4 linked regions of the Astyanax mexicanus genome follow. The main gene of each other region encodes a partner of the protein of the gene in region 4 in a complex. Links are inferred from orthologs where the notes say so. Each region holds a gene or a part of one and is shown on either strand. Other genes may lie near its edges. The genes, in order: srrm1, sf3b5, rnf113a and snrpf.

Region 1 (7,705 bases), on a different chromosome or scaffold from region 4:
CACACTGAATTCGGCTGATTGAGACGAGGCAATACCTTTTGTGAGTCCTCACCACAGCCACCAAAGATTCAAAACCAACTTTATAGTTAGTTAATTTACCAAGACAGACAGCTAAAAGTTAAACACGTCCAGTTTCTAGTTATCTTAGAACTACTTATAACAAACCATTTAAATGCAGGAAAAAATATGCATTTCTAAAAAATGAGCAGTTTTACCTGTTCTTGCAAATAAAGCATATAAAAACACTGTTTTTGCATATAAAGTACAAAATATTGTTAACTATTTACTTCAACTTTTTTTGCTAATTAACATTAAAAAAAATCATGGGATATCTGGTTCTGCACAGTTAGTGCCCAAACACAAAAGCATTTTAAACTGAAATTATCAATTTCAATTCTGGAAAAAAGCAAACTACTAATTAAATTTGACACGATTCTATACGTACAATCCCTGATCATAACTCACCTCCAAAAACAAAGTTCATCATCAAGGGAGAGTTGGGTTCAGTGAGACTTTGGGCTCAGGTGAGATCTAATTAGGTGTTGGTGCTATACTTCTGTTGCAAGGTATTACATCCATATTGGTTCAGGCCTTTTAAATCATAAATCACATCATCATTAGAAAAGACGTCAAAACCCCACAAAGCAAGTTCAGCATCTTCAGCAAGTCCATATGATTCTTTACCCATTTCTACCAGACAGGTGACACTGTGCTGCTACAATAATGGGTTCAAGTTAGACTCTAAAGCACATGTCTGTTGCAATGCCCTTTTCTCCAACCCCTCTGCCATCCAGATGATGTAAAAAGAACAACTACTGCAAATCCTGCCTGCATGTAACCACAAAAAGAGCAGAGGAACAGAATCAATGAAGGCTACCTTCTCCTCCAGCTGGTTAAAAATGAACTCGATGACGACATCGTCCTCAAAGCCAAGGATCTCCGTCACTCGCTGGGTGATCCAGGGCTTGATGACCTCCAGGTTTACCTTTGTCATATCCACCTTAAAGACAAAAAAATTGAAAGAAAATACGTCAAAAAAACAAAACATTGAAAACTAACAGACAAACAAGAACATATGTTCATGCTGTAAAACAAAATAAAAACATTGTCAAACCTTTTTCTCCAGACATTCTGCAAACTTCAGCTGCTTCAGCAACTTCTTGTGTTTGTTGCTGAAGCGATTATCTTGCTCCGCACTCGTTCCCTGCATAAAAGAGTTAAGTGTATGAATTGGAAAGTTATGCAGATTAATTTCAAGGTCCCAGGAAAAACTGACATCAACAACCTTGTTGGTGTAAAGCATGGATTTAAGATAAGCCAAAACCCTGGATTCTTAAAGCGCCTTCAAATCTTCCTTACACATTCCTACTTGTGATACTAAAGTTATAAATTATTTACATTGTGGTGTGGTAGGAAGCCTAACCTGTTGACTAACTTATTTTCTTCTATTTACCCCAAAAATCATCCAAGTTATCTTGCAAATTGATAAATCATTATGAGCATTAGAAGAACACTATTAACATAAGTAGCATGCACATAACAATTCTGTGGAGTGTGTAAGAGAACCAATAACAATTTTATTTAACCCTGCAGTGGTCATGTGTCAGTCATTCCGTTTCCACGATTGAACAAAAATTCCTCTTAACTGAATAGATCATTCTTTTAATATAATTGTTTAATCAATGTAATATTTAAATCCAGCAACTGAATAAAGCATTGCCTCAAAGACATAACTTGAAGCTTAACAATCTGTTTCTTTAAATTAATTATTTCCTTATTTGAAACAAAATTAATAAAAGCAGCATTCCCTTTATTTAACATTGCATTCTATCAATATAATAAATTATTTCCTTAATTTAATAAAAAAATAAATACATTTTAAAACACATTGATTTATGCTCATATTTATTACTTTTAATATATTTGTTTTATTTAACCTGTTAAGTTAAAAAAGAGGGGTTAACGTTTTGACCAGTCTATGTAAGAACTAGTTAACTGTACCTAAATAAATTTGGAAACCAAAAATGTAAATAAGTAAAATTCTCATAAGAAATCTTTAATTCTATTGTTCGGACACAATTGCTTAAAATCTAAAATGTAAGGTATACAATTAGTGTTAAATTATGCATCATAATGTTATGAACAAATGGTAATAAATTGAGACGTTAGTTAAATTATGTTGTAATGGTTAACAATGTCTTAACAAATTTCAGTAAATAATTAGTTAAAACGTTCTGTAGCAAATACTATTAAATAATGGACCCTTTTTATATAGTTGTAAACTGTATATTGGCAGATACACAACTTTTCATATATAACGTTATTTGATATCAGCAAATAATTCCCTTATCTGTACATCCCTAAATATACTGAATTTAAATGGCATAGTCAACTAGTTAACACTAACTATGTTATAGACTCTTACTACATAAAGTTAGCTATAGTTAGTTAAAGTTAGCTGACAAGCTAATTAACCACAGCATTTCCTCCACACGATCTGATGGAAGCACGAGACAGCTAATGCTAGCTACCCTAATCTTACCTGACCTATTCAGCGGTATTCCCAGACTAATTTAACAGCGCCCTGACTCCTTACGTGTTTTCTTTAATCTACAGATAAAGAGAATTATCAGTAAACTGTGTTAAATCCTGGTATTAAAAGCAGAAACAGCGCAGTTTTCTGCTCTGCGAGTGGAAGCTAAGAGGAACGTTAGCTTGCATGCTAACCGACAGGTTTAATGGGAACACAGCCCGGCCGCGCGCAGACCGCCGCTTAAGAGTTACGACTATTCTACACTTTAATAAGATATGTAACCAGATTAAAAGCGTGGCTGTAGATATATACCATCAAGACAAGCGACCTAAAGACATTTACAGAAGTCTGTTATACCGAAATTAACCTATTCAACTAATAACATATCCCCTAGCCGCTCTCTTGCCATTCCGCACTACGCTCGCTCTCCAGGCTAGGCTAAGTTAGCTTGGCTAAGTTAGCTTAGCTAAGCTACCTAAGCTAGCTAGCATACCGGCTAATCACTGCTAGCGCCGCGGTACAGGGCTCCAATACTGCAGTAAAATAAGGCGAATAAACGCCAGGTTATTAACTACATACATCCACAGTAACCCCCTATTTCCTAACGTCCCGCCAAAACGCAGTAAATCCAGCTTGAACGGGAACTTACGCGGAAAAATCCCGCGTCCATTTCCACCGAGAGGTGCGACAAAAACCGTCTGTGGAAAACGCGCTGCCGTCCCCCACAACCCACCGCGCTGCTGAGCTCATTTACCAGAAGAAGCCCGGCCCCGTCCCGATTGGCGCTCTGGATCCCTGCGCACTTACACACTAAGTAGTGCGCACTATTAAGGATATTTTTTCATTGCACTTTGCAATATGCTGTGCACACATATACAAACGGTATAATACATACAATACAATACAAAATGTAATGTATATATATAATATCAATGAGAACATAAACATAAAAAACCCAAACGTTCCATTTCCCCCAATACACTTACATGTCAAAAATCCCATCATAGCTTTTTAGAAATTTAGTGTTTTTTTGTGTCATTAACAATTCTAAAGCTTTACATGATACATTGAATTTCAGTTAAAAAAATGTGAATTTGGGTGTATTCTTCAAAAAAAATGTTCTTCATGAATATAATACAGTTCCAGTTTCAGGAGATTTTTTATTTTATTTAATATAACAAATTATGTCTTTGAGGTAAAAAAGGTAATGTTATACAATTTAATTCAGTATTCATTAAATGATTTAAACCAGTGGGAATAGTTTTAATAACAATTTTACATTCTTTAAATGAAATAAGAAATAGATTATTTCCAATTAAAAATAATAAAAAAGGATATTCCCATCCTTGCTAAATAAAACAAAAACGTTATCTTGATTATACCGTTTAGGGAAAAACAATGATTTTATTCCAATTGTAATAACACTATTATTCCAAAGCACTTTATGAGAAGCAAATGTGGGAAAAACACAGTTTCCAGGCTAACGATATAAAATGTTGCATGGTATATCTTCCAGGCCTGGGTATCAACACCTTTCGAACACAATCCCCAATAAATAATTTTATATTACATGTTTTTTTTTTTTTTAGAAAACACACAAAAAAACAAAACAAATGACAGTTGTTTTGGCTCCTCTAAAATGAGCAATAGTTCAAAAGTATATAATTTACAGTACCGTTTAAAACATGGGACACATCTTTTCCTTTTTAATGTTTTAATTTTTTTCCTACATTGTAAATAAATACTGAAGTCATCCAGATTATGATGAAACTTAAAAGTGTTAAATAAACCAAAAAACTCTGAAACATTTAGATGCTCTTATCTGGGGAGCTGTTAACTTTGGGTTTCTGAGGATGGTAACTCTGATGATCTTATCCTGTGCAACAGAGGAAACTCCTGCTCTTCCTTTCCTGGGGCGGTTCTGATGATCATCATAATGGTTTTGATGGTCTTTGTGACGGCACTTCAGGATACTTTTAAAGTTCTTGAAATGCTCTAAAACACATTAAGAGGCAAGATCAGCACAGCTGTTAACTGAAAGCAATTCCAGGTGACTCTTCCTCATAAAGCTGAGTGAGAAAATCCAGCCAAGATGAGCAAAACTGTCATCTAAGCAAGAGGTACTACTTTGCAGAATCTAAACTATAAAACATTCTGGTTTGTCTAAGACTTTTTATTACTAAACAATTCCCTATGTTTTTTAATAGTTTAGATGGCTTTAGTATTAATGTACAATGCAAAAAGTTTTAAAACAATTAAAAAACGCTGCATTTAAGGTGTCCAAACTTTTGACAGGTACTGTATCGTACAGTATCGTACTGTATCCTACAGTCAAAATCTCATGACTTACCGATTGAAGACGAGCCCTAAATCATGGAGATTAGTTCAGTGAAGGTAGACCAAATTTGACAAGCTATTAACATTGACATAAATATTAATAAGGCACATTTTATTTTGACTTGAAGTCACACTCTTGATATAAACCATTATCCTAAACCCCTGTGTGTAAAGTGTTTTAAACTAGTTATTTTTAAATGATGTATAAAATATAGATAAAAGTGTTAAAGCTGCTTAAACTCAAAAATAAACAATATATGCATATGCTTCATTCCATTTACCCTAGAAGGGAAGAAAGAAAGAAATAGTTAATTAATTTAACTATTAAAAGACGTGTGTTACTTAAAAACATATCTGAAAAAAATGACTGTTTGCTAAAGACTTTGGAGATTCAACTCAATTAACAATCTTTACTAGTGTTTTAAGGCAATTCCTACCAATATATAGATAGATAAATAAATATTTGGGAGGGTTTCCTCAGGAAAATCAGAAGAATGTCCCAGATTATCACTACAAGCATTATCCTAGAGTATCGTAGATCCACAAGATTCCATTTGTTAAACGTCTAGCATGATTTCTATCATCATGCTGTTTTTTTGCTCTTTTACCTTTTAAAATGTCAGAAATCAAAACAGTCTTTGAAGAAATAAAAAAAGAACCTTTCCATTGGGAGAATTTTGTTTTATTTTTTTTTCTGATATAAATTTACACTGCAATTTATTCCCCCAATTTCGGCATGAAAACAATAAGCTAATGTGCCTTCAATATGAAATGTTAACATATTGTAAAGGCTTATCTCTACACAATATCAGTTGGGCCCCCCAAAATCACACCCCATAGATGGAGAAGGAGAGAGTTTCTGTGTATAGTTCAGGAGATGCTCTGTCTCAAACGCTAAATTGTAATACTGAGCAGATTCGTTGTGAATTGTGTTCGTCCCCTGAATTTGGTTCACCTGCTGAATTGACTTTTCTGAAATTGAACTGGCCCCAACTGCAGTGTTTATCCATGGGCCCAGGCCTGTGTAAGAGCTGTTGTCCAGTTTTTGCAGTGTCATATTGGCATGAATTGGCTGGAAAACAAATGGTCTTTGACCTATACATCATACTCACTTATTTGCAAGAGTAAGGCAAAGAAAGAGAGAGGGAGAGCGAGAATGAGCTTGAGTAAGATTGAAAAGAAGTACTTGTATTATCCCAATGACGTTAAACAGCTATATGGATGACGGGACAGAAGAACGTAATTGGAACTTCAGCATGAAAGGCTAGGTTTTGTGAATGGAGAAACAGGGAAATACAAGGCAGCATTTAGTGGTAATTCAGAATGATATGATTGAGTACATTACGGACAAGACCAATAATATTGAACCAGATGGTGCCTGTTTATATTATCATTACTTTGAGCATAAGAGCAGTCTGAATTCATATGTTATTTGTTAAATAAAAAATAAATATCTAGTTATAGAAAATCCACACCACCAAACTAAATGCTAAACTTCTAAGTGCCATAAAAAATAAATAAGGCCCCTAACCAGACAAGACCATCATAAGGAACAACTGTGTTTAAGAGAAGCACCCAGAGCCAATCCCAAACACTGCACTCTGGTCAACACCCTTAAGACTATGTAACCATCAAGCCTGATAGCCGATGATGGTTCCCTGAGGTTACAGGGAATTGAGAGTAAAATCTGTCCCAGAGCAGTCAAACCAAGACAACCAAGTTTCATTACAATACTATTGAACAAAAGCAGAGTAAGAAAATGATAAATGATAATTTTAGGACAGTAAAATATAGTATGTAGAATAACAGAAATATTAGTAGGTTGAAAGTACAATTTGATGGGAAAAAGAAAAAAAAAGTTTTTTTTTGTCCCAGGATTTCTAGTATAACAGCATTATTAGTTTTATTTAACTGACATAATTAAATACATAGTAATGTTTATTTCACTGGGGATAACTAGATATGAACGGATGCTAGTAAAATGTTTAACGCAAACTAAATGCTAATAACCATATTCAGTAACCTGGCTGATAATAAACAATATATTCATTAGAAGAAACAATCAGGCTATATTCATTTGCATAAATGTTTTGTTTAGCCAGCTTACCCTGGCTGCTAATGAGCTACTAGCATTAACAGAGCCAATTAGTTTAGCTTAACCTGACTACTAATGAGCTATATTCTTTAAGCTAGCAAGTTTGGTTAGTTCACCTGGATGCTAATGAGCTAAATTTATTACCATAGAAAGTTAGCATAGCATAACTTCACTACTAATAAGCTATATTCACTGCCACTACCAGTTAGGTTAATTTTCCTGACTGCTAATGACCTATATTCATTAACAGAACCAGTTAGGTTCATTTCTTAGGCTGCTAATGAGCTATATTTATTAACAGAGCAAGTAAGCTTAGCATAACGTTGCTGCTAATAAGTTGTATTCTTTAACACAGCCAATTCTGGTAGTTTAGTTGGCTGGCAATGAGCTATATTTATTACCAGAGCAAGTTAGCTTAGCATAACTTTGCTGCTAATGAGCTATATTCATTAACACAGTCAGTTCTCCTGGATGCCAATGAGCTGTATTTATTAACAGAACCATCTCATTAGGTTAGCTTAACCTGGCTGCTAATAAGCTATTTGCATTAACAAAGCAAATTTGGTTAATTTCCCTTGTTTCTTATAACAAAGCTAATTAGGTTAGCGTAACCTAGCGGCCAATAAGGTATTTTTTTTTTCAATAACAGAGCCAGTTAGGCTAGCTTAACCTGGTTGCTAATGAGCTATACTCATTAACACAGCCAGTTAAGCTATCTTAACCTGATTGCTAATGAGCTA
Region 2 (8,260 bases), on a different chromosome or scaffold from region 4:
GAGTATCCAACTGTCATGTAAGCTCCCCAGATCTCATCTTGAGCTCTCCAGATTATCCAGATTAAGCCAGTTGTTTTTGGATGCCAAACATAACCTGGATTCACTGCTAAAGATGCTACACTTTCAGTCTGTAGAATTTCAGATTTCTCATTCACAACCAATAGAGATGATGGTGTCTGGCTGACATATGGCTTTAAGTGGGCAATTTGATGAAACACCCATCCTGCTACCTTCAGTCCAATCAAACTCTGTTCATCTTGGAGCAAATTGTAGAGGCATGTCTGAGAGCCTTTTATAAGGCAGTAAGAGGAAGCTCTTTTATGCCCTCCCACTTTCTACTCAGAACACACCTGTAATAATTTATAAATATAAAGAATTGCATGCTGAGATTTGCAGCAAGACTGTATTTAAGTTTAAACATCCTGTAATATCTCAAAATGATTTTTTGAAAGGCAGTATGAAACACACACACACAGACTGAGCAAGCTGGACTTTTGAGATACGGATAAGCCCTGCGATTTTCCATTATTACTCATAAACCTATAATGCAAATCCCCCAGTGCTGGATGATCTGTGCTCAACAAACATGGCAGACAATCAGATATGCACAACTTGAGCAGGACACACACACATGATGCCTTATCACGACTTTATCTGCTTCAGAGATCACTGGAGCACTAAAGCCTGCAGACATCTTCTCTATTTCCAGTTTATGACATTCAGCTTTTCTGCATTATCATAAAAAAACAGTCCTCAACTTAATATGAGCAGCTAAGCTTCGTTCATTCAAGGCCATTATAATCAGCTTCTCATCTTACCAGCAACTCGCAGACAAAATCTGAAACTGAATGAGACTACGTGTCCTATTAGGAATTATTGTATATTACAAGGATGATATACTGGGGAATTATGGCTTTCTGTGGCGCTAATGAAATGCATTCTTTCATTTCCTCTAAATTGCATTAATGAGAGAGGAAAGCCATTCAGATGAAAAATGTCCCTGAAAATGGCTCCTTTTTGATACTCATTCCTCTTGGAACTGTTTCCTCTATCTCTCTGTCTCACACAGTGAAGGCTCCTATGCTTGTCATTAGTGTAATAGGCATCACGTTTATTTTTGCCGGTGTTTTATTAAGTTTAATAAATGGCTTTTCTTATGAGAGGAATCTTAACAACATGTTGTGCATGTAAACATCCCTCTTCACTAGAAGAATGAAAGCAGGATTGGCGAAAGACAGGCAGACTCATCTCATCAGGATGGAAATCAGATTTGCCCTCAGACATTACGCCCCCAAAGACAAGACAACACTTGATGAGCTGTAACTGCTGTGCCTAATAGATAAACCCAGTGGGCCCATCAGGCTGAGGCCTGTTTCAGACAACCCTGCAGATGGAGGTTCGGTTTAGTGTTGAGGCAGTAAAACACACCAGATAAAACAGATATAATGATGTATTGTTCTGATTATACACTATATGTCAATCCTCTATTGCATGATATTTTTCTTTGTTGGTAGGTTTTGTTGATCTCTCTTGATATATCAATCAGAGCATTTAGGAACCGCTGATTTAGTGTAACGGCCTTGGTTGTGGTTGAGCAGCGTATTGTTGCCCTGAGGCAGCAAATAAAAAAACACTGTTTTTAATGAGTAAATGAAAACAAATTAGCCATAAATATGAAAAAGAATGATTAAAAAACTGAACGAACAGTGTAATAATCCAAAAAATTATAATCCAAAAAATAATCCAAACATCCAAAAAACATGCCATAGAGGGATAATATAAAATATTGCAACCCTAGCTCATGCATTGTTTCTCCTGAAATCAGGCGTATTAAAACAGTTTATCCTGCTTTTGTTGGACTAACTGTCTCTGCTGTCCAGGAAAGTATTTCTACTAGATTTGTATGTAGCACTGCTGTGAGGTTTTGGTTGCATTAAGCAACTCATTGCAAAAGTATTGGATTAATCCAGAGATTCCCAAACACAATTCCACTGCTCAATAGCTCAATGCTGGTAGCTTTATAATCCTACACTATTTAAACTAAAGTACTTCAACTGAATGCATTTATTAGAAGAGGTGTCCACAAACACACTGAGGTCATGCCAAAGTTCATGAGACAGGAATGAATATTCTGTCCCATTATTATTTTGAAAGCTAAAGAATGCTGCACTGGCCTGTGAGAAATGTGTGTGGGGTCTACTGCACTGAATGTGGATGTGATTTCTTCCACTTTTCTCTTCACATGGACACTGACAAGGTAACACCTCGCAACTATTACAATTATGGAAGGTCCCAAGCTGTCCACTGAAGTAGCACTACTTATCAATGTATATACTGCTATCCCATGACTCATGTCACAGTATTTGGCCATATACTGTATATTTAATGAGGTTAAAATAAGTCCCCCAGCATATACACATCTAAAGCTTTCATCTGTTAGAGAGCAGATGAAATCAAAAACAACAACAGTTGTTTGTGTCTGTACTTCATCTGTGAGAAGATGAAAGGATGGAGGTGGAGGTGAACAAGCTGTATGTGAGAAAATTAAAAAGAAAAAAATATATAAAGAAAAAGAACATTTGATTAAATCAAACTGTTAAAGCTGTTCTCAGAACAATGCGTCCAGACCTCAGTGACCTGAATGTGAGAAGCTGAGCTGCAGAAAATGCTCCATTTAAAACATTTAAAACTAAACATACAGTGTAAGGTGGGTCTAAAAAGTAAAAACTGTAATGAAGGTAAGGATGGACTTTTTATAGTAAAACATCTAATATTATGTTTTCATTTTGAGGCTTTTGTGTATTTCCATTAAACGTATGTGATAAATATTTTCTGCTTGTTAATAAAGCAGCAAAAACATCTCCTTGATGTCAGTCTTGACTGAAACTGAATTAAATATAGAGAAGTCTCCAGCTTTGACTATTTCAGCATTTTTAGGTTTAAAGGTACTCCTGCAGAGACTGATAAAATACAGGGCCAATCTGATTCAGACAATAAAGTCTGAGGTAAACAAATGTGGCCGGAATTCATCCATGGCAAAGAGCCACGGTTTGCTTTGTGCCAGCAGCTAAACAAAGTAAAAACCCAGTGAGCACATTTATAACCTCACTCTTCAGCCTGAAGTGCAGAGAAAACAAAACGATAAAAGGATATAGTGCAGTGTACGCTGTGTTACACACACTGTTTTCACTATATTTGTTTAAATGTAGGTAAAAAATACTAACATTCAGCCCATTTTGCCTCCTTAGTTACCCCTAGAATATATACATTATTAAATAATATAATATTATTAACTCCTCTCAGTCTGTTCTCTGCTATTTTCATAATAACTCTGAAGTTGCTTTACTTACTTGATATGTATCAAACATGATGTCACAAACTCTCATTTTAAACAAAAACACAAGAACTATAAGTGTCTATAACATGTGCTCCATTGTTGTTGCAAAATCTGTTACAAATAACAAGAGCTTACTGAACCACATTGCAGCTCAATGTACTTTTCACAATAAAGGAAATCTTGTAGATTGTGTAGATATGAATAAAAATGCAGTTAATAATATAATATAATATAATATAATATAATATAATATAATATAATATAATACTGTATATAGCAATATGTAAGCTCTCTATCTTACATATCCTGTAGTAATAGTGCATATACAGCACCATTCAAAAGTGTGCACAAACCTTTTCTCATTTAATGTGTTTTCTTCCTTTTTTATGATATTTTTACATTCATTTTAAATTTAATATTGAATACTATATTAAAGCTTTACAGGAGCACATGCAGAATTATTTAGTAAAAAGAAGTTTAACAAACCAGAATATGTTTTATACTTTAGATTATTTTAAGTGCCACACTCTTGGTATTTAAATTTCAGTGTCTTTATGAGGTGCTGAAAAATAATTGCTGCTTTATTTTTTTTCTTTCACACGTTTTTTACCCATCTCAGCTGATCAGGTTTAGGTCAGGGGATTGTGGAGAACAAACACTTTTTTTGTTTACTACATAAATTCATATGTGTTCCTTAATTGTTTTAATGTCTTTAACATTAATCTACATTGTAGAAGATAAATAAATAAATAAATGCATCCTGTATTTTGTTTTATATTGTTTACTTTTTATGTATAAAAAAATATTACATGTATACAGTACAAAAGTAAAGTTGGGTTTATGTCAGGGGATTTTATGCCACTTTTTTTTGTTTACTACCTAATTCCATATGTGTCTCTTGATTGTTTTTATGTCTTTAATATTAATCTACATTGTAGAAAATGAATAAACAAAAAAAATAAATAAATAAAAACATTGAATAAGAAGGCGTGTCCTGACTTTTGACTGTATTCTGTATTTTATGTTTTATATTGTGTACGTTTCATGTAAGCTACAACAAATATTACAGTTATTAAGTACAAAACTAAACATAACAAGTCAAGTCAAGTCAAGTAGTTTTATTGTCAATACTGCATATGTACAGGACATACAGAGAATTGAAATTACGTTACTCTCCTTCCCAATTTTACAGCAAGTACAGATAATAGATAAAATAAAAGAAAGAATGGGAGACACTATGTGTACAATACAGCAGGGACACAAATAGACATACATGAGACAAAAACAAGGTGCAGTGGTGTGGGGGAGGAATAGATATATAAATATAAGTAAATAAGTAAAAATAGATATATAATTATAATATAAAAGAGTGGGAGACACTATATGTTCAATACAGCAAGACACAATAAACATACGTAAGACAATAGTGCAATATTGATGGTGATCGAGATGGAATGACAGTAAAAATGGTAAATAACAGTAGTGCAAATACTAAATAATACATGTAATTGTTCATCTTTTTTTGCCTATTTACATTTTGTAAGCAGTGAGTTTAGCTGTAATATGTACAGTAGCTTAATATGTGTTGAATATTTAATCTGTTTGTAGAAACTATAATATAGCGGATTGTTTATGCAGTGGGAGGAGACACGGGGAGAGCGGCGGAACTGTCGGAGGGTGATCTGTGTTGCACCTCGGCGCGTTTTAAGAGTTACTGGTTCCTCCCCGCACTGCTTCATTTCGTAGCTTTCGCTTCATCTCTAAACAGCTCTGAAACTTTAGAGATAAAGGCGAAACATCTACTTTTAACGGAAGAACTGTGAGATAAGACAACACAGCGGTTATTTCTGCAACCAGGTATGATTTTAATCTCCTGTTTTAAATGTTATGTCGTTAAATAGACCGTGTTTAGCCGCTGAGCTAATGCTAAGCTGAGATAATGGAGAGCTCGGCGCTGCCGCAGTGTATATTGTGAGTCAGAGTTTCTTAGGATATTTAGCTATTAGGAGTTTAGGTATAAAATATAGATTTATTACTCTGCTGCTGCTGCTGAGCGGATTTATTGCGACCGCATCCAGAGTTTAACTGACCAAAAGAAGAATAAGGGCATCTGGGCAATGGACTTCATTTGCTTTCTTATTTTGGTTATTATTCATACGTTAAAGTTAATGTTTTTTTGTTTTTTTTTTAAGAATATTTACAAAGTTATTGTGAATTTATTTAGGCCAAAACTTACTCTACGAAAGCTGTAAAATATTAATTACTATTCTTATTATAAAGTAATACGCTGTGATCTCTCTGTAATTTTACAATCATTTACTAACACCTATTTTTGCTGTTAACTTGCTGTAAAGACTGGCAAGAAACGCATATACAGCCTCTATTGTAGGGGTGGGCGATATGGCCCTAAAATAATATCACGATATTTCATGGTATTTTCGCGATAACGATGCTCTTGGCGATATGACGAAATACTGAATAAAAATTCATGATTCAAATGATGTCAAGAACTACTACACTAGTGCACGAAAATGAATATTATTTATTTTATTGCATGTGATATGATATGGCACACCATTAACTGAGATTTTAAAAAATACCAAAAATTACTCCAGAATCCAAAATTAATCCAGAATGTCATTGTACTAATAATGTGTTCTACATATCTCCATATGTCCAGGATTAAAGTAAAATAAATGATACTGGACAGATATAATCTGTCTCTAGTAGATATAAAATGGAAATGAGAACAGTGTGATTTTTTTTCTTTTGCTAAAAACAGCATAAAAGTTGTACCTTGATGTGATAATTGGGGGTGGGTGATATGGCACGATATTTCAGGGTATAATATCGCTCACAATATCGAAAAATTGTGGCGGTATTATTGCGTACGATACGATATGGCACACCCCTACTCTATTGAATTGGAGTAACCAAAATAAACAAAGCCTAAAGGTAATTTTATTCAGTGTAACGTTTAACAGTTCAGTTTTGAGTCTGACCGTTTGAGTCTAAATTTGTAAGTAGAAAATTGGAGGTAAAACTTTTTTATAGCCCTGTCAGGATACGATTTTCTTTGTGAACCATATGTGGTCCCAAAAATGTTTGTGATAAACAATTTTATCATTTTAAGACCATTATACATATATACACTGTCATACATGTGTACAAACAATAATGTTTTTTGTAATGTTTATTGTATTGATAAGTTGATAATTTAATTTATCGTGATAGGCAAATGTTACAATCCAACTGAATTTTGTTACAAATTGAAAAAAAGAGGGAAATTTAACTACATGTAACTTCATAAACACAACCATTCACTACTCAACTCAAGTTCTTGAACAAATACTTTGCTCTTGCAAAGATTGACAATTAGGTCCTTAAACTTGATATACAGGGGAAACTGAGAGTTTAAATAATAATGATAGGATGTATAAAATATAAATACCAAACCATATATAATAGATCATATAAACCAAGATAATATAAAATAAATAAGATATGAAATAAAGCAAATTAAAGATAAACAATGTATGTTTAAGTCTTTGCATTTATAAATTAAGAAAAATTACCCAGCATTAAACATCTTGTGACCCCCTCAAGCAGCAATTACTTCAACCCAACGTTTCTAGTAATTGGTGATAAATCCTGCAGAAGGGGTTGGAGGCATGTTTACTCTTTGCTGGTTTAACATTGCGAAAGGTGCTGTATGATGATTCATTACCAGGTTTGATTGGTATCTGTGATTGGCCTACTGCTATTGTTCTCGAGAACACTTGTTCTCAGTCCAACTCTAATGGCAGTCTGCTCTTGTCCTTTAAGAGGAAAAGCAGTACCCAACCATTAAGCTGCTACTCCCGTTCTTTAGTGATGGCATTGGGTTCTTTTGTTGGACTACATTGTTCAGTTTTCCCCAAGCAAAACACTTCGTTCATTTCATCCAAAAGGTTCTATTTAGGATTCTACACAACACTATAGAACACAAAGAAAACACATATAATATGTATGGTCATTTTAATAATGGACTGTAATGGTCTGCAGCACAGGGCGTCTGTGAGCTGATGTTCCGGAACCGAGAAGCTGCGCTGTCCTCCGAGCGCGCTGGCTGCTCGGCAATGCTGCATCAGCAGCAGCTCGAAAAGAAGCAGACTCATGGTGTATTCATTACTAATGATAGGGGGAGTCCTAATGAGTGGGTTGGGTAATTGGCCGTGTAAATTCGGAAGAAAATGAGGGGGAAAAAAAACCAATACTAAATGTATCCATGTTGTGTTTTAACAAAGCTGAAATTGCTTTAAAACAATACTGTTTGTTTTTTTGTACTGCAAACTGACTTCTCAAGTAAAAGCTAAATGCATTTAACTTTTAACATGTTTCAACATTACACACTTATATGTTTTGTTCATAGAATCATAGAAAAGTCTCCTTCATAGTGTGTTTAAATTTACAGTCACAAAATGATGTGCTACATGTGGATCAGTTTGGTAAAGACTGGAAAAAAGATAGTGGATGGTTAAATTTAGGACGTTTGTGCACTTAAGTGATGCTTAAGGGAGTTATTGTCATATTTCTTATCTCGGGAGGTGTTTGGCACCTGGCCCTGTGAAGGTTATGAAGTGTGCTGGACCAGCAGCCGCTTCAGGGGCGCTTTTTGTCTGGCTGCCCATTTTCCAGGTCATTTCTTCCATTTTGCTGCCTTGGAGTTATTAGTCTTTTTCAGTTTCAATTTTGTCATCCACCCAACGAAATGATTAACTGTCCTTGGAGAAACTTTAAGCATATGTTTCAGAAGTTAAAACCTTTTATCATGTTTTTAGCCTTTTATCCTTTTTATTTAAAAACTGCCTTCTATAAAGCTGTATTCATCAGTCTTTCTTCTTCTCTTCTTGTGCTTATCCTTCAGCCACCATTTATTCTAGC
Region 3 (8,093 bases), on a different chromosome or scaffold from region 4:
TCCAGAAATCAATATTTAGTGAAATAACCCTGGATTTTAATTACAGTTTTCATGCATCTTGACATGTTCTCCTCCACCAGTCTTACACTCTACTTTTGGATAACTTTATGCCTGCACTCCTGGTGCAACAATTTAAGCAGTTCAGTTCGGTTTGATGGCTTGTGATCATCCATCTTCCTCTTGATTATATTCCAGAGGTTTTCAATTTCAATTTTTTTCAACTCATCATTTTTAAGTGGTCTCTTATTTCCAGAGCTGCATATCTTTAAAAAATCTTTAAATATCATGGTACAATCAATACCTTTTCCCCATATCGCCCAGCTCTATAAACTCTATAAACTGATTTACAATAGCATACATATCATGCACAGGAGCATAACAGATGAAGAGAATTTTTTGTGAAATTAACTACAAATTCAGTTATCACTGACAGATTTGTTCCTCACCTCCTGAATTTTCTGGCTGCGCTCAAAGATGGCCTGAGCGTCTTTGTCTTTTTCTGTGTCCAGTGCATACACAGCTGTTGCCCCCATGTCCTCTGGCCCTTCAGGTTTCTGTTTCACATATAAAAATCAGCCCATCAGCAAAGTTTAAACAGAATTAAAAAGGAAGAAGAAGAAGAAGAAGAAGAAATCATCATCATAATAACTGCTCATGTAAAAACGCAGGTTGAATGCATTAGAATATAATAAAACAATAATATGAATAACATACCATTTTAAAAAAAGCATTAAGGATTAGATTTTCCATAGTAACTCTGACAGCACTGGCAGCTCTTGAGAGCAGAGCATAAGGCTGTAATTATATTTTAATTATTTGGTACCTCATGGAAATCTATGTGGGAGTTTGCATTAAAATCTACCCACTTCCATTCCCCCACTCCCTTTTCCACACTCAGGGTTGTGAAATGGAAATGGACAGGCTGGTTACTTTTTTGGCTGAACTGAGTTCTAGTAAGGTTGCTAAGCATATTTACCACCACCACTAGAGTAGTATAGATGGGCATTTAGAACAATGAAACAAATGTATACATGTGCTGATTAGCTAAACAGTGAGACTCGTCGACAATTGTTCTTGCAACCCGCGCGAGCTCAACATTTGGGAAAGAGAGGGTGGGGCAGAAAACTCTCTCCAATGTTTGAAAATTGAACTCCTGAAGCTATTTCACACTAGGGGTGGGCAATATTATATCGTATACAATATATCCTGACACAGAAATATCATGATATTAAAAATACATATCGTGATAATAGGGCTGTTCTGTCTTAAAAGAAGTCTATTATTTACTGTGAAGCTTAAGGTGTATTTATTGTATAATTGTTTTAGTTTGCAGTTTATATGCATGCTCTAAATATTCTGCAATAATATTTGCAGCATCATATTATTTTATGCTATATAATTTATTTTGCCACATTATGATTATTCTGTTATACTATTATACTATATTCCTGAAATGAATGAATTATTTTAGTTTTCCTATATCGCCAAGTATATCGTTATCGTAAAAATACTCTGAAATATCATGATATTATTTTAGAGCCATATCGCCCACCCCAATTTCACACACTCGTTTCCATTTATTACTGATTGTTCCTTTGAACACAAAAAAGAGCAATTAAACATAATACTGATTCTTGGGGCAGGTTTTCTTACCGCTGAGCGGGTGGATTTATAAGCCACTGTGATCTTTTTGGCTTCTTTGTCTTCTTCACTTTCACTTGATGAGACGGCTTCCCGCTCCACCTTCTTTGTCTGAAACAGGGATTTTGGTTGGTTAATGAACTAAAACCATAAAATATAGACAGGACTTGCAAAGCAGAGTCACAAAAATAATAAAGCAAATAGAAAACACACTAATTAACAAAATAAATTACTAACACACACTGTATTGTTAAAACATTAGATATGCTGTTATATCTAAGGCAGATATGTAAATGAAAAATGCACTGTCTGTCGTTATGAAATTTTTGGCATTACCCAAAGACCTAGCCCTAGACAAATATGCGACAACCTGTTTTGATGAAGATTTTATTATTTTTTGGTGAATGATGATTCTGGTTTCTGGTTAATGAGCCGAGTTAGGTTCCTAAGAGCCATTTTATTGGAACTTTGTGCTGAGTTGGGCACAGATTCATAGAGGCCAATGTTACAGAACCAGGCACAAAAAATAACGCATTTAGAGGTGTTAACAATGTAACCAGAAATCACCAGGTAATGAAGAAAACGTTAAAATAGGAGAGAAGAGAGTTCAGGAGGGGCAGGAACAGATATGAGTAAGTAATTTTTTTTGCTACTTATGTTACTATTAAATGTTCCTAACTGGGATACAGAACTGTTATAAAGGAACTAATAAAACACTAATGTCACAATATTATTAATTACTTTAAGATAAACAGCAATACTGATAATAAATCCCTTAAATAAAAAAAATACTAAGTCGTAACCTCACGGTTGTTTTGCCATTTGCTTCAAACATATATTTTGGGCTAGTTTAAGCTTTTGAAGGGCGGGTTTTAGACTGATTTAGGCTGGATATTTGTGTTGGACCTGGCAACGTTGTATTCCATAAAGACCTGGATTAGTGCACTCACCCTCTGGAACATGGGGTTCGCAGAGACGGGTTTCTTCTCTCTTCTGACCACGGCGTTCTTCTCCTCATCACTGCTTCTGTCTGACACAGGGAGCAGAGTTACTGAGCCTGATTCTCTGGAGTAAACTCTATATTCAGACCAAACACTGACTAAAACCGAGGATATAAATATGGAGCTGCGTCTTAATTCTATCTCTCATTCCACCTTAAACAGAGCGGTGGTTCTGTTCTAGCTCTAAGTTACCCGTCCGGACTTTACAGATAAATAAACACAATATAAAGATATATTCATAATAATTTACAGTCTTTAGGCTGCGCTGTCCGCGGAGGAACAGAACACATAACGTTACATATGAAATACTCAATCTTCGCCTCCTCCTCAGCATTTATTACTTGTATTATAACAGATTTAACCCCTCTACACTCACTAAAATAGTAAAAACCGCCTAATAAAGTTTACCTTTGTCGCTGTCGCTGGCTTTTCTCTTCCGAGCTGAAAACTTCTTACTGGATTTTTTGAACAAAAACGTGCAGGTCGCTTTAGTCTCCTCGGATTCCGCCATCTTTAACTAATGAAAATAAACTACACTCAGAGACAGAAGAGCAGCTACAGCTTTAACACAGCGCCTCTCGCCGCCTGGAGAGGAACTGCACGGATATACGACAGCGGATTCACAGCAGCAGTTTCAGGCCTGTGGCAGCGCTATACCTACTGTAACTTTATCCAGGTTTATACACTTTTTAACCAATACATTTTCAGGACTTTTTCATGTCTCCAAGGCAAATTGTCATGTCTATACAATCTTTAAAACATCAGTGCGGACAATACAATCAAAAATCAACTAAAACTATAAATAAAAAAAAAGTAATGTTCACACAATTTATGATAATAATAATAAAATGTGTGTCAGATCCTGAGAGCTTCATTGTGTAAGGCTATTATACAGAACTAACTCTGAGCTGATATATTTGTTAGCTCAAAATAGCTTTTCTCAGTCGATAAATGAAAACACACATATGTAGCCTGCAAATTTTAATTTTACCAAACCTTTCTGGGTATTTCTAGTTTTCCAAAACCTATCCAGGCATGGAAACTGCTATTTTAAATACCATAAATTTTTTAAGGGTTGACTAGATAGAGCCTGGCTTCTAGGCTGGCAGCTGCTAGACAGGAGGAGGAGGAGGAGGAGCAGGATGAAGAAGAAGTGCCATCGCATGAGTGGAGGTCAGGAAGATAAGATAATATAGTATAAAAATATAAAAATCGTTAAGAAAGCAAGAAAAAAAATAAGAGACCACTTCAGTTTCTCAATATGTGTCTCTGATTTTACTATTTATATGTGAATGTTTAAATAAAATGTTGTTTTATACTATAAACTATGGATATTTCTCCCAAATTCCAAATACAAATATTGTCATTAAGAGCATTTATTTGCAGAAAATGAGAAATGGCTGAAATAACAAAAAAGATGCAGAACTTTCAGACCTCAACTAATGCAAAGCAAACAAGTTCATACTCAAAAAGTTTTAAGAGTTCAGAAATCAATATTTGGTGGAATAACCGTAGTTATTTAATCACAGTTTTCATGCATCTTGGCATGTTCTCCTCCACCTGTCTTACACACTGCTTTTGGATAACTTTATGCTATGCCTGGTGCAAAAATTATAGTTGTTTGGCTTGGTTTGATGGCTTGTGATCATTCATCTTTCTCTTGATTATAATCCAGGGGTTGTTAATTAGGTAAAATCAAAGAAACTCTTCATTTTTAAATGGTCTCTTATTTTTTATATTTTATAATTTAATGATACAATACATACATATGTACAAATAAACAGTTTATGTAATTGTTTTATAAATAAAAATACAAGACATGCCGCACATGCAATTACAACATATACAATTTAAGGTACTGAACACATAATAAAGATAAAATACGTCTCACTGAAAAAATAAATACAGAAACATCGTGTGCCAATTTAGGGGCAGGATTCTTCCAATACGGCCTCTGAAGGGTGCATCCCCTGAATTGGGACACACTGATACCTTCTGACGTTGCCAAGTAATGCCGCCAACTGTGAACTACTGTCGTAAACAATGCCCCTTCATGAATTGTAGCGATTTACGGCGTGGCGCCATTTTGAGAGAGCGCGCAGCGCGGAGAGGAGCTGGAGAACTGAGCAGTAACGAAACTAGTGAAAGCGACCAGTACAGACTGGTGTTACAGTAACAGTCTACACTGGGAGGCTCTGTGGGAGCTGCTGAAGTCGTTATTTTGCGGAGCTCGGAGATTCTGCGCGGATTGGATGCGGAGCTGAGGTAATTTAATGTCCGACACGAGGCCTCGGAGAAAGCGGGCTGTGCTCCAATACGCGCTCTTGTGAACTAAATTCTAGAAAGCTTTGGGAGTGGGCACGTTTGGCTAGAATTTTTTTTATTTAATTATATTTTGTTTTAGTTAAGCGGAGTAGGTGCGTGTGGTCTTCATGATGTGGCTTATAAAGTGTATGTTTGCTAGTTTAAGTTAAAAAGAGTATTAGTTGGAACCGAGTTAGCGTTAGCTAAGTGCAGACTAGTAAGGGACCTTGGTCGAGGGCGCACCTTTTGCTCGCTTATTTAAACATGGCTAGCTGCTAGCTAGCACAACCAAGCCCTATGCGCTACGCTAGCTACCACACACATAGGTTATTTAGCTAACATATATAGGTTTCAGCGTCAGTTTGGTACTCTTTATGGATTTACACTAAATGTAGGTTTGTATTGGTGGATTAATTTATCTTAATTAATTGAGTAAATAATTTAAATTTATCCATGTAGATTAAATGTGTTGTGTTAGCTAGCTTAGCTTGCTTGTATTGAGTTTTGTAATGCTAAGCTAGCTGGCTAGCGCTAATTTACTATCTTAATGTTGTGTGTGTCTAATGAGCCAAACTGGGTTCTGAATTGATACTTTTACCTCACAGGAATTGGGTTGTTTACTTCTCTGATAGTGTTGATTTTACTTGTCTGGTCTCTGTAGTCTCTTTGTGGCCCATACCTTTATCAAGCAGTGGGTCTCAGACCCTGTTCTTTAGAGTTTGACGTTTTTAGTTTCTTTGTGAATTCCTTGCTGGCCTAATCTACAATGTAATGACATTTAATCGTAATATTGTGTAATATTGTTAAATGGCCATTTCTCTGCTCTGTTTAGGTGAACAATGACTCAGTTTCTGCCCCCAAACCTGCTGGCCTTGTTTGCCCCGCGGGACCCCATTCCGTTTCTGCCACAGTTGGAGAAGCTGCCCCATGAAAAACACCACAACCAGCCGTACTCTGGGATCGCTCCCTTCATCAAGCACTTCGAGGTATGAATTAGTAAAATTGCATGTTATGCCACACTTGTAGGTACTTAATGTTATGTAAGTACACTTGTAGGTAACTTTATGTAGTGTGAACACTTATGCCAGGTTCACACTACCCTGTTTTAGTCCAGTTTTTCAGTCACCAACAGTTTTTTGTTGACTGCTGACAAAAAGTCTGCTCAGAGCCAAATCAGGGATCTCTCAGCACTTGCACAGTTGTGTAACATGAATTAGACTCACAGCAAGTATTTGGCATGCTAGATATCTGACCCAGTCTGCGACTGGGAGTCAGGAGCAGCGGCTACATACTGGCAATGAAATCATGGAGAAAGAGAAAACCATTGGTCCAAAACACATCCCTGCGTTATTCACACTACACGACTTGTTGTTGAGACACTACACAACTGAATGTCTACACCGGATCTCAAACAGCAAATTTTTTTGCTGTGGGAAATCACAGACTTACCTGGCTGCTTTCCAGAAACACGTTTCCTTTCGTGCGCACCCGGACTAAACACACATGAGAACTAGCGATGCCATGCCAGAGAATCTCCATAGAGGAGAAAACACACTTGCAATGTGTCGAACATGAATATGTTCATATTAAGCAACTGAGCAAAATCAGACTTTAAAAATTTCTTTTTTTATTTATTTATTTTTATTTTTTTTATAACTGTCTTCAACACGGATCTATTAATCAAATGTTTCAGTACAGCAGACATAAATTTTAAGCCTTTTAAATGTGCACTACCTGTATATCGAGGCTCAGCTTGCCAACCAATCAGCTCACAGTACCAGTAATGCTAGTGCTTTTGCAGTGTAAAAGCTTTTTTTCTGTAGATAAACTAAAATATATAGGCAAGCTTTCTTTGCTTTTACTGAAATTAAAGAAGTACTCAGAACAAGTAGTAAATTATTATTTTTAATTTGAAGGTTTAGCATTTAGCTCCATTTACTATATACAAAACCACTAGTCATTAGAGGTATTGCCGTATTATTAATATTTATTAGGATCTTAACATATAAATCTTTTTACCTATTTTTAAAAACCTTAGCTCCTCATCAACTAGAGAGATTCCTCTGTGATAAGTTGTAAATCAACTGTAATGGTTTTGTACAGGTCATTAATTAATTTTATTTTAATCTTGTGTTGCGTTTTTAATCTTTATCCTTCCTTTCAATCAGGACCCTAGAGATGCACCGCCACCCACAAGAGCCGAAACGCGCGAGGAGAGGTTGGAGAGAAAGGTGAGAATATTGTGATGTTTTTATATGATAGAAAAAAAGCTTAACAAGGACTAGTGAGACACATTGTCTGTGTTTTCTGGCATTATCTTAATGACTGTATGTCGTGTTCTTTTCACAGAGGCGTGAGAAAATGGAGAGGCGGCAAACGGTAGTGGAGACAGAGCTGAAATTGTGTAAGTATGCAATGTATTTTAAGGATCTTAAGAGTTACACATTCCAGCCTGAGCACCAACTCAGTCCGACTTCATTCTTTCATTTCTTTTTGCAGGGGATCCTCATAATGATCCAAATGCCCAAGGAGATGCTTTCAAGACCTTGTTTGTGGCTCGAGTTGTAAGTTTTTTTTGTCCTTTCCTTTTTTTTGATTATTTTAAAATTTCTAGACTTCTAGACACAATATTAATCAGTGATGTCAGTAACGCGTTACTTAGTAACGCGTTACTCTAATCTGACCCTTTTTTTCAGTAACGAGCAATCTAACGCGTTACTATTTCCAATCCAGTAATCAGATTAAAGTTACTTATTTAAGTCACTGTGCGTTACTCTCTCTCTGTCTCTCCACCTCATCTCCTCCACACACACACACACACACACACACCGCTCCCTTACCCATTCCCCCTCCGCTCTTCCCCAATCACACGCGTCTCGCTTTCTCCCCTGTCTCTCTCTCTCGCGCTCGGCGTGTCTTTAGTTTCTGCCCGTTTTCGTTTTTCGCCAGTTCTCTGCGCCCTATCTCTTTATTAAAGCGTTTTTTTGCGGCCGCGTCCCAATTCACTAGCCAGGGCAGCGGTCTGCCACAAATTTGATTGGCAGAGGAGAGCATTTAAAGATTTTACACCACACGTGATTGGAAGTTCACTGCGCGTATACCGTAAAGACAAGAAAAGTTCCGGTGCTTTAAATGAACACTGTCAGA
Region 4 (8,124 bases):
TAACCCATTTGTAGTTTAAACGAAAACATCCATACATCTTGAAATAAATTTGGAACACAAGCAAATACAAAATGCATAATTTTATTTGCACACTTGTGCCATCATAATTATGCTTCTATAGTGTACAAAACATTTTAACACATGAATTACAAAAGGGGGAGAAAAAAAAACAATGTTTCACATACAACTAAAACTAAATTATACATCTTTAACTGTAAGCATACTCCTCATTCCCTCATCTCCCCATCTTCTTCCTCCTCTTCTACACCTCTTATATACAAAACATTGTTACACCTGTGAAGGACAAGAAAACAATTAGTTAATTTACATTCTCTCCCCAGTTTACAGATAATTAATTAGTACAGATCTTATATCTCTGTTCCTGGTACATCTGACACAGTTCTATTCATTATACATTTCACAATAATTTGTTTTTGGAAACAGAACCAAAACAATGGATTGGCTCAGGCCAAATTGCTATCTAGCAAACAATTAACATAAAACAGGTTGAGGTTAAAGAAATGCACAATCAACTTAAGAATAAGAGATACATTTTCCACATTGATTGACTGTTGTAGCGAACAAATGCACTACAGTGGTTATATTGTATATGCACTATGCAGCAATATCATCAGTACAGCCACTCACCTGACAAGCACCTCGCCAAGGTGACCTGCTAAAGCTCCATCCACATACTCCTCTGTGTTTGCCAACTAAAGACAAAAATAGAAATATGTTGAATAATTGTAATGTTTATCTACTAAACTAAGCACTTTTTAACTGTCACAATTATGCCCTTGAAGTCATTATAAATACGTAAGATGTTTTTTTTTACTCTGAAGTAAAGCGAAATACACTCTAATCAAATGTACAATCAGTGTTCTTAAAGAATTGAAGGCATACTCAAATAGGTTTAAAAAAAAATACTGTAGGAAAAAAGTATGATAAGAATCTTATTGCCAACCTCTAAAGCATACTGTCAACTCCTGGCACACAATAAGTAAACAAACTTAAGATTTAAGAGTCAAATTAAGAGAACAATGTAAACTGTAGACACTCAAATTTACTCAATACTTCCATTATGGTAACCATAGTTGAACAGCCAAGACATGTTTGATGCCTGAAGTTTGCTTTGCTAGATTTGCTGCTCACCAGCAGAGACACTTATTTCACCCACTACCACAACATTGTGAGGGTGAATAATGCTCTACTATAGGGGTGAATAAAAAAAAAATACCATGAAATACTGTGATATTATTTTAGGGCCATATCACCATATGGCCCTAAAATAATATCACAGTATTTCATGGTATTTTCGCGATAACGATACTCTTGGCGATATAACGAAATACTGAATTTAAAAAATGATTTCAAGAATACACTAATGCACCAAAATAAATATTAAATTTTCTTATTGCACGTGATATGATATGGCACACCCTTAACTGAGATTTTAAAAAATACCAGAAATTACTCAGATTTGTAACAGAAGTCAATGATCCAGAATGTCACGGTACTAATAATGCGTTCTACACATCTCAATATATCCAGGATTAAAGTAAAATAAATGACACTGGACAGATATAATCTGTCTCTACTAGAAATAAAATGGAAAATGAGAACAGTGTGAATTTTCTTTTGCTAAAAACAGCATAAAAGTAGTACCCTGATGTGATAATTGGGGGTGGGTGATATGGCACGATATTTCAGGGTATAATATCGCTCACAATATCGTATTATCGCGTGCGAAACGATATGGCACACCTCTACTAGTAGAAGAGCCCCAACTACCCAACATAACAAATTAGCGGGTGAAGATTCAGTGTTACAAATGTAAATAATTACGTAAATGGCAGTTCATAATAAAAGCAATAAAACTACTCACCCCGCTTCCCTGAACTGTATCATAATATATAGAATCAGGCTTTCCAAATCCTACCGAGACTTCTGCCGCGAGAATTTTCAAATATGGCGTTTTTTCTCGTATTTTTAAATACGTTAAATATACACCGCGGTAGCGCGGTTTCACATGGTAGCACAACTCGTCAAAACACCGGCTCTTTTTAGTGAGCCGAACCAAAAGAACCGATTCTCTAGCTAAAAAGAGTCGGAATTTCGAATCACTAACACAAACTCCAAAATAATCCTACACCAAGAAGGGTAACAAAAACATGCTGGAGATATTGTATAGCTAGACAATTATTCTCTAAATTACTGTACATCAGTTATGGACCAGGGTAAAGTGTATTTAGAATAACGTTACCTGCATGTTCATGTATCCATCCACTGATACCAGGTAACCCTTGTACTCCATACCCCACTTCAGCTTCACCATCACGGGCTTTCCGGTCAGACCGTTCAGGAACGGCTTCGGGTTCAGCGGTAAACTCTGTGGAACAGAAGGGGAGTACAGCGGTTCAGTCTATAGTTAATAAACATAGTGGGGCTTTACTCCAGCAGACTGAGCAAGCTGTAGTAGCTAGCTAACGCTAACACTAGCTTCGCTAAAGTTCATTCACGAACACTACGTTTCTCTAACGTAAGTTAGCTACTGCTACACAGCTAGCTAAAGCTAACTTGCTAAGACTATTACAAACTGAATATATTGTTACACAAGCAAAGACTTCAGACTTAAACCACATTCAGTTCACCCATAACACAGCATTAACTAGTGAAAGTCTCATCTGTATGGTATTTTACTTCAGTCGCTTTAAACTAACTTACTTTAAATGAATGAACTGCTGCAGCGGGTCAAAGCAACCGGTTAGCATTAGCATGCTAGCTAACCACAGCACTCAGGTCCTCATCACTGTAATCACAGTTTTAAACTAAACCCGACCGTGTGGTTAAAGGCGGTCACGCTGAGTACTCACCATGTTTAATCAAAAAATATCAGGCTTCGGAAAACCTTCAAAAGTGTTTCATTCAGACGCTTGTGTTTCAGAAGCTCACTCGCACGCCTTGCCGCCAGGAAAGGGAAGGACCACGAGTGAAGAGTCGAGCTCTGACCCGCAAACAATAGAGCCGCCCGTACCACAGCGCCCCCGCGCCGCGCCGGAGGAGCTTTACAGCGGCTACACTTCATCACGACCAACAGGGGGCGCCCGGTACAGAGTATAGAGGAGTGAAAGATAACTCACTTATTATACAGCTCTAGAACAAACATTACGAGACCTCTTCAGTTTCAGAATCGGTTTATCTGATTTTTCTATTTATAGGTATATGTTTCAGTAAAATGAACATTGTTGTTTTATTCTATAAACTACGGACAACATTTCTCCCAAATTCCAAATAAATTATCGTAATTTACAGCATTTATTTGCAAAAAATGAGAAATGGCTGAAATAACAAAAAAGATGCAGAGCTTTCAGAACTCAAATAATGCAAAGAAAACAAGTTCATATTCATAAAGTTAAAGTGGAATAATTCTTCTCCACCAGTCTTACACACTGCTTTTAGATAACTTTATGCCACTCCTGGAGCAAAAAGTTCAAGCAGTTCAGCTCGGTTTGATAAGCTTTGGCTTGTTATAAGGTTTTCAGTTTGGTAAAATCAAAGAAACCCATCATTTTTAAGTGGTTTCTTTTTTTTCCAGAGCTGTATATCTGCAGTGAACGGAGCCACATGACAGGGCACGAGGGAAAACATTACATTGGATTTTACATGGGTGACAGGGGGAGAGGAAAGTCGTCTGAGTTTTTTTCTTAGATTAATAAATTAGATAAAAATATATAATACTTTACTGTACATTCCCACTCCTGCACACTATTAACACTTACATACAGCAGTATTTTGTATATATCCTATAAGGTATAGTTTATTTTTCAAGCCTCAGTTAGCATTTTCTATAGTTTTAGGTTTCTCACGGTGCTTGTACTATCTATCTATCTATCTATCTATCTATCTATCTATCTATCTATCTATCTATCTATCTATCTATCTATCTATCTATCTATCTATCTATCTATCTATCTATCTATCTAATGTTGTTCTCTTCAACCGCATTACCCGCTCTGGCCTTTAGATGGCACTGCCATTCAAAAAAATGAATTCGCCGTTCAACATTTTTATTATTATTTTAAAACTCAGTCCCAAAGGCAAAGTGAGTAAATAAAGACTAAATAACAAAATGCTTAATTTACGGTTTTACAGTAGGGACATTTACGAGATGCATTATGCTGGGTAGTACTTATGAAGAATCTAAAGCCACCTACTTAGCCTGGTAATTACGTGAGGAGTTGAATCAGGTGTGCTTGAGTAGTCCACCTTCCGAACACTGGAGGGTGACCCTCCAGGTCTAGAGCTGCACTACTTTTGGGAACTTAAACAACGACCCAGATGGGACTCAAACCCACAATCCCCAGCTCCGGAGGCTGATGCCTTATCCATTAGGCCACTGGGCCACAAACACAGTGTGTTTCACTGCCCCTTAAGGCTAAAACCTTTTCAAACAACTATTTTATGAAAATAATGTAATATCTTATCTTATTGTTTCATGTAATGGGACAGTTATTAAGATATTTTAGTGCTACTTGTATCATGTATGTTTGAATATGAAAATTATTTATAATCATACATTTAAATGGCTTAAATGTAATTCCCAGCACATTTCAATCTTGTTTACACTTGTTGGAGCACCACCTTAAATCATATACCTATCCAGTTGTTCAAATTGGTAAACCAAAAATACCACATTCATGAACATTTAAGTATTTTCCTCTTTTAAAACATGCAATTCCTGACTGGTCGAGTCACATGTGTTAGAGCAGGAAAAACACAAAAGATCAGCCCCATTAGACCTTCCATGTATTTTCCTGATCGTTTCCACAGATTACTAGTACAATTATACAGGGGACACCTTCTTAAACATGTAGTTATTTATCATTTATACGTGGCCTTCAAACACATTTCTCAGTGGTAACTTAAACAACAACCCAGATGGGATTCAAACCCACAATTTCCAGCTCCGGAGGCTGATGCCTTATCCATTAGGCCACTGGGCCACAAACACATGTTGATTCACAGCCTCTTGAGTGCAAAAACCTGTTAAAAATTATTCATTACCCTTATGCCCTTACCTTGTACTCATTATAGTCCTGCACCCTGAGGGTAAAGAGGCAAAAATTTACCCAAAATATTTTTGAGTGGGAACAACTATACAAATAAACAACGAACTGTTTAACGTTCTGTTTTACAGAAGGGACATTTAGGAGATACACTATAAAATTACTTACACTGGAAATCATTGCATGGCTGCGTCCAGAAACCCCAAAAGTGTCTCAAGAGGCTGATGCCTTATCCGTTAGGCCACTGGGCCACAAACACATGTTGATTCACAGCCTCTTGAGTGCAAAACCCATGCCAAACTATTTTTATTACCCTTATTCCATTACCATATACTCTTTTCTGCACCCTTAGGGTAAACAGGCAAAATATACATTGAAATTGAGGTTTATTGAAACAAAAAAATCTCAAAACATAAGTATTTAACCAAAATGTTTATGAGTGGGAGCAATTATACAATGAACTGTTTAATCGTCTGTTTTACAGAAAGAACATATAGAAGATAAATTATAAAAAATACACATATCATTGCATGGGTATTACTTATGATGAATCTTAAAGTGAGTTTGGCAGTTGACCTACTTAAAGCCACCTACTTTGCCTGGTAATTCACTGAGGAGTTAAATCAGGTGTGCTCTGGTCTGGAACTGTGCACCCCTGTTGGGAACCTAAACAACGACCCAGGTGGGACTCGAACCCACAATCCCCAGCTCCGGAGGCTGATGCCTTATTCATTAGGTCACCGGGCCACAATGTCTTGGTAATTAACAGCCTCTAGAGTGCCAAACCCTGTCAAGTAATTATTTTTTTCCCTTATGCTCTTACCTTATACTCTTTACAGTCCTGCACCCTAGGGTAAACGGGATAAAAGGATAAATTAAAATTGAGGTTTATTGAAACATCAATCACAACACAGAAGTATTTACCCAAAATGTTTATGAGTGGGAGCAGCAATAAAATAAAAAAATAATTACACTGGAAATCATTCCAGGGGTAGTACTTATGAAAAATCTAAAAGTGAGTTTGGTTGCTGGCCTACTTAAAACCACTGACTTTGCCTGGTAATTAACTGAGGAGTTAAGTTTGGTGTGTTTTGACTATAGTCCAAGGGCCAAAGTCTAGAACTGTTCACTCCTATGTGGAACCTAAACATCGACCCAGGTGGGACTCAAACCCACAATGGCCAGCTCCTAGAACTGTTCACTCCTATGTGGAACCTAAACATCGACCCAGGTGGGACTCGAACCCACAATCCCCAGCTCCGGAGGCTGATGCCTTATCCATTAGGCCACTGGGCCACAAAGACATGTTGATTCACAGCCTCTTGAGTCCAAAATCTTAAAAAAAAGATATTTTATTACCCTCTAATACCCTTATGTTCATATTAATGCTAGTTTTTTGAAGTATGTTTGACTGTGTATTCGAAATGTAATTTGATTTGACTTTTATTTATTTATAAGGAAAACAATTTCAGTATCTGCATATTATATTTAAGAACTAACAGTATGTTGCTGTGCAAAAAAAAAACAATTGTCTTGATTTCTGTAGATTTTTAGTTTACTACATAATTTGGACACACAAATTTTCCCTTATTTCCCTTATATGTCAACATTCCTTGATGTATGCACAAATAGAAAATCTCCAAAATTACCAAAAAAAACCTCTTTTTACATTGACTTCCATATTAAAAGTTAAGATGGTTTCACCTCTTTTCTGAAAAGTTGCTGTTTTGGAGATACTTGTTTTTATTGGACAGTAACAGTATATGGAATATATAGAACCAACAGTGAAGTTACTTTTTATCTTATGAGTTTATGAGTTTTATACGTAATTTGGAATCAGGTTTGCACCCACAATGTGACTTATTTATGTTCTAGGATACATAAGTAACACACAGATGATTGTGCTACAAGGATCTTCAGCAGCAACAAAGAGATTGTCAAAAATATGCCATTTTGATTACATTTGATAACTATAATTATACATTTATGTCATTCCAATTACATTTCAATCTGCTTTACAACTTAATGACTGAACATGAGGATTCACAGCCTCTTGAGTTCAAAGCCCTATTAAACAATCATTTATTATACTTATTAACCTTACTCTTTTCTGCACCCTGAGGATAATCTGGCATAAATCAACCCATTTATCAAAAATTCAGCATGTTTCAGGACAATCCAGAGTGCAGCATCACGTCTGGTCTTCAATCAGCCAAAATGGGCACATCACCCCACTGCTCATTGAGCTCCACTGGCTACCAGTTGATGCTCGTATCAAATTCAAAGCTCTTACAATCGCCTACAAGGTGATGACAGAACAGCTCCTTCCTACCTGAAGACAGAGCTCTTCAAAGAGCACTTACTCTCTTAACACCTATAACACACTAACTACTGCTAACCTCATTTCCTTTTCCTTTCCTCTACTCCTCTGTCCCATTATTTCCCTTTGACCTCCTTCAGGCCCTGTCTAAAGATGTTTTACCTTTAACGTCTGTTACTTTTGTACTTCATTAGTGTAAGTCACTTTGGACAAAAGCGTCTGCCAAATGTAATGTAATGTAATATAATGTTAAAAATGTAGCTCGGAATTAGATTTGGCTCTTTTACATGTTTTTTACATTGTATACTTTCCAATGACAATCTAAGACATTGTGCTGAAATACAGAAGCACTGCAGGAAGGTTATGCATAAAAGGCCAAGAGTAAACAAATTGACCAATCGGATGCTTATAAAGCCTGGTCTGAAGTGATCTTCTTAATGTCTGCATTTGAGAAGATAAGAGCTTCTGAGGTGTTCAGGTTTTAAAATATTTTTTTGTAAATTAATTTATGTTTTCAATTTTCATTTAAAAAGTACTTGTCCCTTCATCCATTTTTGTACATTTGTGACACTATATGGTTTCAAAAGGAGAATACATTTTTAAAATATGATTTCATCTATTAGAAAAGGAATCACAGTGTGCAGCACCTATATAATCAAACTTAATAACTGGTTGTGTCACTGCAACAACTTCATTTCACATTCCTGTGCAGGAATTTTGGCCCACTCTTCATTTCCG

Evidence for each region.
Region 1: snrpf (region 4) and srrm1 share a complex: the UniProt entries of both Homo sapiens proteins name them as parts of the minor spliceosome. The link is inferred for Astyanax mexicanus from reciprocal best matches to the Homo sapiens genes SNRPF and SRRM1.
Region 2: snrpf (region 4) and sf3b5 share a complex: the UniProt entries of both Homo sapiens proteins name them as parts of the minor spliceosome. The link is inferred for Astyanax mexicanus from reciprocal best matches to the Homo sapiens genes SNRPF and SF3B5.
Region 3: snrpf (region 4) and rnf113a share a complex: the UniProt entries of both Homo sapiens proteins name them as parts of the minor spliceosome. The link is inferred for Astyanax mexicanus from reciprocal best matches to the Homo sapiens genes SNRPF and RNF113A.

What each region holds. Positions count from the first base shown.
Region 1 is NC_064421.1:41,980,162-41,987,866, reverse strand, and holds the start of srrm1 (serine/arginine repetitive matrix protein 1), read right to left. Parts: upstream 3,283-7,705; 5' UTR 3,204-3,282; coding exon 3,183-3,203; intron 1,205-3,182; coding exon 1,115-1,204; intron 1,001-1,114; coding exon 878-1,000; intron 872-877; exon of another isoform or gene 1-871. UniProt on the Homo sapiens protein: Part of pre- and post-splicing multiprotein mRNP complexes. As a component of the minor spliceosome, involved in the splicing of U12-type introns in pre-mRNAs. Involved in numerous pre-mRNA processing events.
Region 2 is NC_064414.1:43,716,340-43,724,599, forward strand, and holds the start of sf3b5 (splicing factor 3B subunit 5), read left to right. Parts: upstream 1-4,991; 5' UTR 4,992-5,194; intron 5,195-8,260. UniProt on the Homo sapiens protein: Component of the 17S U2 SnRNP complex of the spliceosome, a large ribonucleoprotein complex that removes introns from transcribed pre-mRNAs.
Region 3 is NC_064426.1:20,936,089-20,944,181, reverse strand, and holds the start of rnf113a (E3 ubiquitin-protein ligase RNF113A), read right to left. Parts: upstream 3,189-8,093; 5' UTR 3,154-3,188; coding exon 3,051-3,153; intron 2,672-3,050; coding exon 2,592-2,671; intron 1,753-2,591; coding exon 1,654-1,752; intron 555-1,653; coding exon 447-554; intron 1-446. Other genes in the region: snrnp70 (U1 small nuclear ribonucleoprotein 70 kDa), read left to right, coding at 5,786-5,932, 7,115-7,177, 7,296-7,350, 7,446-7,510. UniProt on the Homo sapiens protein: Required for pre-mRNA splicing as component of the spliceosome. As a component of the minor spliceosome, involved in the splicing of U12-type introns in pre-mRNAs. E3 ubiquitin-protein ligase that catalyzes the transfer of ubiquitin onto target proteins.
Region 4 is NC_064415.1:29,818,476-29,826,599, reverse strand, and holds snrpf (small nuclear ribonucleoprotein F), read right to left. Parts: upstream 3,041-8,124; 5' UTR 2,877-3,040; coding exon 2,874-2,876; intron 2,390-2,873; coding exon 2,264-2,389; intron 714-2,263; coding exon 649-713; intron 295-648; coding exon 228-294; 3' UTR 66-227; downstream 1-65. UniProt on the Homo sapiens protein: Plays a role in pre-mRNA splicing as a core component of the spliceosomal U1, U2, U4 and U5 small nuclear ribonucleoproteins (snRNPs), the building blocks of the spliceosome.